Linked DNA regions of Caenorhabditis elegans. The protein of the gene in region 1 interacts with the protein of each later gene in a pairwise test. Each region holds a gene or a part of one and is shown on either strand. Other genes may lie near its edges. The genes, in order: wrt-6 and gras-1.

The links.
Region 2: the proteins of wrt-6 (region 1) and gras-1 interact in a two-hybrid assay, tested with the Caenorhabditis elegans proteins (one large-scale study listed by BioGRID).

What each region holds. Positions count from the first base shown.
Region 1 is NC_003284.9:3,478,323-3,484,442, forward strand, and holds wrt-6 (Warthog protein 6 N-product), read left to right. Parts: upstream 1-1,927; 5' UTR 1,928-1,931; coding exon 1,932-2,067; intron 2,068-2,113; coding exon 2,114-2,187; intron 2,188-3,205; coding exon 3,206-3,465; intron 3,466-3,518; coding exon 3,519-3,574; intron 3,575-3,630; coding exon 3,631-3,838; intron 3,839-3,889; coding exon 3,890-3,990; intron 3,991-4,050; coding exon 4,051-4,097; intron 4,098-4,164; coding exon 4,165-4,422; intron 4,423-4,473; coding exon 4,474-4,763; intron 4,764-4,809; coding exon 4,810-5,161; 3' UTR 5,162-5,344; downstream 5,345-6,120. UniProt on the Caenorhabditis elegans protein: Intercellular signal essential for a variety of patterning events during development.
Region 2 is NC_003279.8:7,833,900-7,837,504, forward strand, and holds gras-1 (General receptor for phosphoinositides 1-associated scaffold protein 1 homolog), read left to right. Parts: upstream 1-1,908; 5' UTR 1,909-1,927; coding exon 1,928-2,035; intron 2,036-2,086; coding exon 2,087-2,303; intron 2,304-2,352; coding exon 2,353-2,592; intron 2,593-2,640; coding exon 2,641-2,813; 3' UTR 2,814-3,068; downstream 3,069-3,605. Other genes in the region: F30F8.1 (RING-type domain-containing protein), read right to left, coding at 1-46, 95-285, 334-648, 693-869, 915-1,166, 1,212-1,300, 1,346-1,442; F30F8.9 (Letm1 RBD domain-containing protein), read left to right, coding at 3,165-3,241, 3,329-3,450.

The DNA.
Region 1 (6,120 bases):
GTGAAAACTGCAATTTATTGCTTAATTGGATTTAGCACAGAACTTTGGTACTGTCCAAAAAAAAATGCAGCTAGTTTCTTTAAACTGATATGTCAAGCATATTTGGGCACAGACAAACATCATAATCTTCGTAATGAATGTGTATTTCCACCATGCATTTTAAATATATTTTGAAGTAAATGCCATAAAAATGTATCTTTAAAGGGCTGAAACTTTATTTGCCGTAATTGTGTTTTAGACAATGTTAAAACTAAATAAATCAATTAATTTTCATCTATATTCCAATTAAGAAAGGTACTTTTAGTACTAGAGTTGGTTTTTCCAAAGCCTTGAATTAGAAAACATATTCCACACATTTGTATCTTTTTTAAATTAGCAAATTATTTTAAAAATGTGGGCATCAAGTACCAATATATATCTATTTGCCTATTTATTAAAAATCTAAAATTTTAAGTCATAAAAAATAAAAACGTCTGGAGTTTTTTGTATTCCCAGGTTTAAGAAATAATCATCACTTAGCTTAATGAAGTAAAATGCATATCATGTTTAAAGGAAATAAACAAATTGGCAAATGAATAAAATTTTAATTTGTTTCAAAATTGTGTGTGCCGTTCTAACATTTGTGTAAAGTTGGTTGAAGTTGAGGATAAAGTGCGCACTTAAAATTACTGAAAGTTAGCTAGGTTAAGATTGCTAAATTTTTTATTATTAAAAATAGCTAAAATTAAAAAAAAAAAAAAAAAAAAAAAAAAAGTTGCTAAATTAGGTTGGAAAGTTGCCAGAATTCGCGGAAAAGTTCGTGCATTTTAATTAACCACATTTCTTGTTTTAAATAGTTTACAAACCTGAGGAAAACTTCAAAAACTAATGCAACACTATTTTACGCTATTAGTGTTCTTTATTACTTCCTGTTGACACCTTAAGTTTCTTTTTATTTTACAGATATCAACTATAAAAAAATGATTCACAAATGATTTGTCTGGTGATATGAGCTGCCAAACAAAGAAATTAAAATTTTTAGCAATTTCAACTGTTGTAAAAACTTTGAATCACAAAAATCTTCCAAAAGGTACACAAAAGCGTATTGATATTTTTGCATTGTTCATTTATGTCTTGTAGAAAATATACACAGTTTTCAATATCTTGACCTACTCAACAAGGTACTTGACCAAGTCCGATTTGATTCAGTTTTTCGACAACCCTGATCTTGTTCTCCTTTTCCTTCAATCCCCCGCACATCGCCTACAATCGCAGTCACTTCAAATACAAAAATGATTTCGTTCTCGCTGTATATCCTCCATACCTTGTATCCACTCATCACGATGCTTCTTCAAAATTGACCGCAACTAAAGTATACACATACATAGAGAAATTATTTCGGACTTTGCGATTCCCAATGGAGAGGTGCAGATTCGCCCTCCCCTCCCCCCTCCTGAAGAAATCTTGGCGGGACGAAGAAGTGGGCGGGCGGATGCGGGAAGACAAGGCAATCTTCTGGACTAATTCATAAAAACGCGCTGAAATTAGTGGAAACCGGGAAAACGAGGAGGTGGGAGGTGCTTGTATCTTCCCAACGTATAAAAGTGACCAGAGCTGTAGTTTTGCCATGTTGGATGTTTTGGCAATTTTTCCACCTTGCATATCCCGACCTCATTCGCCCAGCCTCCTTTTCCTGCCCTCCGCTGGGTTTAACACCGTAATCCAACAATTACACGGTGTCGTCGGATTTCTTCATTCAACTCTATTCATTGTCTTTTTCTTTTTCTTCTTCTTGTTCCAAACTATCCAGTTCTCTTCGTTTCACTTTTTTTGAAAATTGTCTTCCAAATTTTATTGCTCAAGCTAAAAATATTCTGACTTTTAAAATCCTTGTATTATTAACGTTCCAATAAGAACAAAAATATATATATGTATGCTGTTCTGTTTCCAGAATGACATTACTCAACTTGTTTTATTGTTTCTGCCTACTATTTGGAGCAGTTTTGGCGGATTCCATTCATGATGGTGGATCTTGTGGTACGAATTCAATTCCTTACAAAATGGAAGTAGACAGCGAAGGAAAACCAGGTATTTACTAATTTTCCAGAGCATCTCAAAAAATTATCCATTTCAGTTATATCATGTGAAGCGCCATCCTGCCTTGGAGTTTCAAGCTCTGCAGCAAGACGCCCAAGAGTTTTGGATGTGGTGAGAGATACTTGAAAGACCTAGGCGCCTAGCAGTAAAATTATTAAGAAATCGATTATTTAGAGAAACTCTTTCGGGGACATAATCCTTGGACTGTAAGTGGCTCTATAATTTTGTGCGATTAAGAAAAATAGAGCGGCCATTAAAAAAAAGTCAATTTCGTAGAAATTAACAGATGGAAAAGCTAAACCATTCAAAAAAAAATTCAATAAGGACGCAATTCTAATTTAAAAAAAACTATAATCTAAACTAAAATTGGAAAACTATGGTTTTTGCTTTCTGAACATTTCAAACCCAATTTAAAAAATCTATTTGAAGTAACGCCGAACTCATTACAAAAATAGAAGCCTTGAAGAAATCGCAGAGAAAAAAGCTAAAACATATGAAGAATATTAAAATTATTCTGTAAGAAGAAACATTTTGAAAACGTAGTTAGAGCTAATACTTTCATAGAAGAGAAAACATAGACAACTGTTTCAGAAAAAAAACATCGAAATTTCAGTTTTTTTGGGTCTCAATACATTGATGAATTGCATCCTACAAAATTTTTTGCAAAGCTTCTTGCTATTGGTTCAATATCTTATCCATACCGTACCTATATATTTGTCACCATCTCCGATTTTTCTCACATCATCGCTTTATCTTAGATCAGTGCGCCCGTTGATTATACATCCCGAATGTGTCTTGTTTGAATGTAAGGATGTTTCTTTCACCCATTAAGCTTTACGATCTTTGAGACTTATCCAATTAAAGTGGCTAACTGAATCTTCGCCCGATTCGTCTCGGCCGAAGCCTATTCATCTTTTTTGATGTTCCTATTTTAATTGTGACGACGTCAAGCGTACCAAACAAGCTACGTATGCAAGCCAATTAATTGCGATGCGAGATTAGAAGTACATGAAACACTATGACCGGAATCGTTCCTCCGGATGAGTCGTCGTTGACCGAAAAAACTTTTGGCGGGCGTAGTATAATAAAACTTGATTGAATGATGTATAGCATTGGAATATTTTTCCAGAGTTGCGACCCTTTCAAGGAGATTGTCTGCGTCAAAGACCTGCAATGGACTTCTGGGCTTGTGGAAATCAATAACGGAACACATAGAACATTGAAAACCGAGTGTTGTTCGTACGAAGGAATGTCTGATGCGAAAACAATCAAGAGCATCTTCCTTGGACCAGGACAATCGTTTGTAGGAGGAATGGTGGAAAAGGATGGAGAGCAATCAGGATTCGATCTTATCAAGGAGATTAGGAAGACTGTCAACGCAGATAATCAGTAAGAGAAATTTAAATGATCGGGTATTTTTGGAACAAAGTTTCTTATTTCAGAGTTCAATATATTGTTGGTGTCTACCGCATGCCTTGTGAAGCCACCTCCGATTCAAGTAAATTTTTTGAAATTTTGAAATATTTTTGCAATTTTAAGCTTCACTGTTTTCAGGCGAGGAAGCTCTTCCATTGCTTTCAAGAAACAGAAGAAAGCTTCGTGATAGAGTTGGAAAATACGATGATTATGAGGAAGACAGAAACTATCGCTCTGAGAGAAGACGTCCGTTTGCAATGAGAAGACGTGCCCTCCTTCAAAGACTCGAAGATATGTATGATGATTACGATTACGAATTCCGAGTTGTGAGACGACCATTCAGAAAGTAAATTTTATCCGGCATTTTTATTTAAGCCGAAAAATTTTCCAATTTAAGAAGCCGCCTTCCATACAACGAGAATGCTCTTTGGCCACTGCAATACTCCTCGCCACAACGTTCCCGCACATTTGCCGACAACACGTACAACAAAGAAACAGGTTTGTTAACGACAATGCAAGACGGAACTGCCGCTCTTTCTAACTATGGTGATTCTTCAGTAGAATCCGGGCCGCTTCCTCCACCACCGAGCTCCAACTACATTGACGTGAGTTTAGACTAACCCATACATCTAATGTCAACTAATTCTACTAGTACTAACTTTCTAGTCGCAGAATGTTGCCCCAGCTTCGCCTGTCGTTCAATCGCCAGCCTACCCACAGACTCCAGCAGAAATGCCTCTGCCACCTCAATCAGGTTCATATTCTGGATCGTATAGTGGTTATCCAACTGCTGATGCAAGTCAATACAATGCGTACCCTGCAATGCAGCAACCAGCATATCAACCGGCCTACCAACCGGCCTATCAACCAGCCTACCAGCCAGCCTACCAACCAGCATATCAACCAGCATACAGTGCAAGAGGATACTCGGTATTTTAATTAACAATTTTAATTCATTTTAAAAATAACGTCATTCTTCAGCCGAATTTGAATGGGCTGTTCGGTGGAACTGGCATGCAGTGTTTTTCCGGAGATATGGAGGTAGAGACAGAAGACGGAATCAAGATGATCAAGGATCTCAAGATTGGCGACAAGGTTCTCAGCATGGACGAGGCTTTTGTGACGTATTCGCCCGTTATCATGTTTTTACACAAACGGGATGAAGAGATCGCGGAATTCAATCTCATAGAAACAGCCAATGGTCACTCAATTAAACTGACCGATAATCATTTGATCTACGTGTCTGACTGCCGTACTAGATCCGACTTAAAGTAAGAAATTAATGATTTAACAACAAGTAAACTAATAATTATCCAGATTGGTCGCCGCGAAAGAAGTCAAAATGGATGATTGCATTCACGTCACCACAGACAGCAATGTCGTCATCAAGAAAAAGGTATCCAAAATCAGCAAGGTCATCGAAACTGGAATCTACTCTCCACTTACTTCCACCGGAGATATTATTGTCAACCGAGTTCTGGCTTCTTGTCATTCCAACTTGGCGTTGAAGTCACTTCAACAAACTTTCTTCTCACTCTACAAACGTACTTCAAGTGTTTTCCATAATTTGATGTTCTTCAAATCCTCCACAGAAGAGGGAGATCTTCCAGTTGGAGTCGAAACTTTAACAAGTGTCATGGACTTGTTTATTCCTCAATCATTTGTATGATTACTAATCAGTTAATATGTATAAGTTTATAATAATTGTACGTTGTTTAATAATGTTTTTCTTGCTTATGCTTTTTATGCAATGATGTTAAAATATGCGGTTGAATTGTGCATTTGGTTGCAGCTGCTTTCTTTCACTGTCGCCTTGCCATGTTGTAAAATAAACATAACTTATTGAGTACAAACACTTTATGTTTCCTTATTTTGCTTTCCATTTTCAGAGCCTACAAAAAATAAGGTACCGTACTTCCTCTATTAGTCTTGCACCACTACGGGTTAATCGAAAATTTTTCTTGTCTTGCAGCTTCTAATAGTCTTGCATCAATCTTTTTGCTGTAAGCAATACTTTATTTAAACTTCAGAAAACTTGTCATTTTTTGGACAAATGAAACTTAAAAGTGTTCAAATTGATGATGAAATATTGAAGAAGTATGTACATATTTTTCCTTGTTTAAACTATATCTAGTTAAGTTTTCAAGAAAAATTGGTAACTGGTAACAATTGGTAAGAATTGGTAACAATTATTGAGCTTTCAAAAATTAGTCTTACAGTCGTAAAAAAACATACGATACATGTTCAAAGATGATATCTCGTGTGTCTTTTTGGGAAGCATTAAAAGGATTGTCGAACTAGACACTTAAATATTTTTGAAATATTATGTGAAATTCATTAAAGTAGTAATTATAAATTAAACGTATAGTTGCGCCAGTGAGGACTTTGTTAAAAATCATGTATAGGGTGCCAAAATGGCCAAAGGTTATAGTAAACCTTTTTTATAAAACTTTTACTGGCAGTCAAATGAGCTTCTGCAAATTTTTGTGAATGCTATAGCACTGTCGCATGTTTGAATTCCCACAATGTTAGAATATTACTACTTGAAAAATCAATAGATCATAACATTCGGAAAAGACTTCTTTTTTGAACGGCGACTTCCAGAAAGTTGCAAAACTTGAGATTTGT
Region 2 (3,605 bases), on another chromosome or scaffold:
GAAGGGATACGTTGCCTTGAACTTGGTGCGTACATTGCTCTCAAAGCTAAAAAATCGTGTTCTATTAAAATAATAATTCATTAGGACAACTCACTAAGCGTCTGTAACATTTTTCAGCTCTGTGTTATCCATATTGATAAGAATATCTGTCGCCAAATTGCAGTACTCTGTTTGGTTCATTTGTTGAAATGCTTGGACGGTAGACGAGGAAGATGTACCACCTTGTTGACCAGTTTCTGATGATTCCCATAGAGTACCCATTGAATTCGGAATGACACGAGAATTCTAAAAAATGAATTTAATTTAAATCCCATTTTCTTAATTTTTTTAAACCATTTGCTGTTGATCAAACTGATTTGATGTTCCTTGATTCATACTAAGTTCATTCAACTCTCGCCGGAGAAGTTCTTCCCTCTCTTGGGAACGTAGACGAGCAGTTAATTCAGTGAACATGTTAGGAAAAACCGTTTGACCCGGAAGATATGGAAGATCAATGTTTTCAATACTCTTTCCGCTGGCAATGAATGGTATTGTTTTATTTGGATCGATGACGTCATTGTTTTGAGAAATGTTAATAGCAGCATCATTTGACTCAGAAAGCCATGTACTTTGTTCAATTTGTTCTGCTGGAATCAATACACTTGGACGCTGCAACTAAAAAATTTTGAGAGAACTGCAAAGCTCTAATTTACCGGGAACTGATGACGCTGGACCATTTCAAAAACCCCATCGAGATCAGCGTTCAACTCGGAAGACGGAACTTCACCCTGATTGTTGGCTCCATGATGAATATTTAAGTTGTTCACTTCTCTTATAATTTCAGCTGGAGCTTCATCCACTTTAGGCTGAACTGAACCGAGTTTGCGTGTCTGTCAATAAAATTCATTAAACGGGAATTAAAAGTTAAAACCAACCAGGACAGGAATTGATTGAGATGAAAGACGACGTTGTGATGAAGCTGCCAAAGTGGAACTGGAAGGAACAAGCGCAGTATCTAAGGCTGGGACAGATTCGGAATTCGACAATTCTTGGATTGGGAGAAGCCTTTGTGTGAACGAGTTTCTCACTCCAGCAACTTGACTACTAGTGGGCACCTCTGACGATGTAAATGATTGAATTTCCTGTCGAAGAGATTGAGGTGGTACTTCACTTGAGCGAACCATGTTCTGGAAACATATTTTATCAATCAGAATATGAAAACAAAGTAAAACCGTTTGCGCGATTTGCTGAGGAACAGAAGTACTGGTTGGTAGAACTGCTTCACCAGAGAGTACAGGTGGAGGAAGCGGCTGGGATAAATCTGAAAATCGACTTGAAACTTAGGTCATTAAAAGTTTCCACAAACCTCTCTGATTACCAGCGAGATATCGCTGAGGATTCATACAGAAATTCCTCGTAAACTCATTTACTTGTGCTATATATTCAGCATAAGAATCATTCATCGCGAATGATCCTTATTTTGACAAAAATCAAGGGAATTTTCACAAAAGTAGGAAAAGTATTTAGGAACGAGTTTTCGAAAGCTGAAATTTCGAAAGCGTGTCATGTGTTTGCGTGTTTCAGTAAATACCGTAACCTTCATATATTTCAACAACAAATAAGAAAAGGTGCGCACGCGCTAGTCATTTGTTTGGTCTTTTAGTCGTTTATTTTTTTGCATGATGATTGTGTTTTAGTCACTTTTTACTTAAGTTTAATAATTTTATATGCTTTCTTCTAAAGTTATTACCGAATTTCCCATTATAAACTTTGCGCGTCGAATCTGGCGCTTGCGTACATGTTTCTCGTCTCTAGCTTTTCCTTTCATCTTCTCACCAATTTTACAACTTATCGACTTTGTTTCGAGTCTTGTGTTGTTTAAACATTTAAAAAACTCTAAAAACATGTTTTTTTGTTTAATATATGTTATTTCAGAGTTTCTGCTTTTATGGATCACATCGACGCTCATAGTGCGGTTTCCACGAGTTCGAGCTCTTCAAAATATGATACGCCGGATGACAATATTTCTGAACAGCGACTATTGTGTGACGCAAAAGTAATTATTTGATTCTCCATTGAAGAACAACCATAATATTCGTTACTACAGGAAGAATATCCACTGAATGATTATCTTTTCGATGGGATCAATCAAGAATCCGCACAACGGAGCCTTCTTCTATGTCGTCAAACATTTGAAACTTCCTTTGGCTTTGCTCTCCAATCATATGTATTCAAAAGAACATCTTCAAACAGTTACGAAAGAATAACTTATGTGGATTACGTGTCGGCTGATAGCCCAGCTGATCGCTGCGGGATAACACGAGGTATTCAATCATTTAATTCAGCTTTTCCTGCCAACTACTGCAATTTTAGGCGACATGGTCATTGCTGTCAATGAAAAAAGCGTCGTCACTGCCTCCCATGCAGAAATCGTCGAATCAATTGCTCAGTGTCTTCAAGTCAGTCTCGTTCTGGTCTTCAAAGATGTAGCAAGAATCGTGGAATTGAGCATGCGGTCGATTCAGTTACGATTCATGCTCGATGCAAAAATTAGAGAATTGAGGATGCTCGAAAAGACGGAAGAAGATTTGCAAGCATTATATGACGATGAACGTAAGTCGAGTTTACGGTTATTATTTTGATTATTTGTAACAATTTTAGATGGCAATGAGGAGGAAGACGAATCACTTGAAAGCACGCTTTACGAACTTGATGAGGAGCTAAAAAATGTACAAAATCCACAAGAAAAGGAAGCAAACGGCACTGATTATCGCCATCTCATTCGCATCAACAGTAGCACGTCTGTTGGAACTCCCCAAGTCACGCGTCTCTAGTAAAATCAATGTCTTTCATATTTTCACGTTTATCTCTGAACACTCATGGGTAAACATGTATACTCTAATTATATATTTCGATCCCTGGTACATAGTTGTACATATATGTATTTTAACTTCCTGTCTCCGCCCAAAATTTGCCATTTTATTCCCATTCCAGTCATTTTGATTCCCACAAACCTGTGATCATGGTTATGATTCTAGCCTGCCTGTTATACTATTAGTTTCAGGAAATAACATGAAGTTTTATCTACTATTCCTGACACAATTATTTCAATTATCCATGAGGTTCTGTGCCTTTTCTACTTTTTCGTTTGTTTTTCCTTGACAAAACTACTTTTTTTCAAACAGATGCACTCATTGTCAAGGATTCTTCTTCATCGCAGTAACAGTGTGCTCAATTCGCCTACTTTTCTTGTTGCTGTTAGGTAGACCTTTTCATCATTAAAACCTGTTTTATTCTGAGTATCCGTTAAATTCAATATTATCCCTCTAAAAAATGTGTTCTACTTCAGACAAACATCAGCCGGTCCACCTCCAGCCACTCCAGCTAAAGAAGGATCCTTGACCTACAAGTATGAACAATTTATTGGAAAATGGCCTAAAGTGTTGGCACTTCACAGGACTGTTCTTGAAGGTGAGGGAGTTCTCCGATTAACTTACTTACTTTTGAAATTCAAAAATGACATTTTCTGATCTTTTTTATTTTTATTCAGAGATCTTGACATGCTCTCTTAAAGTCGCACGGATTTATTCAGATGGGTCTCGGCGCAAAGTTTATGGCAACTTAAA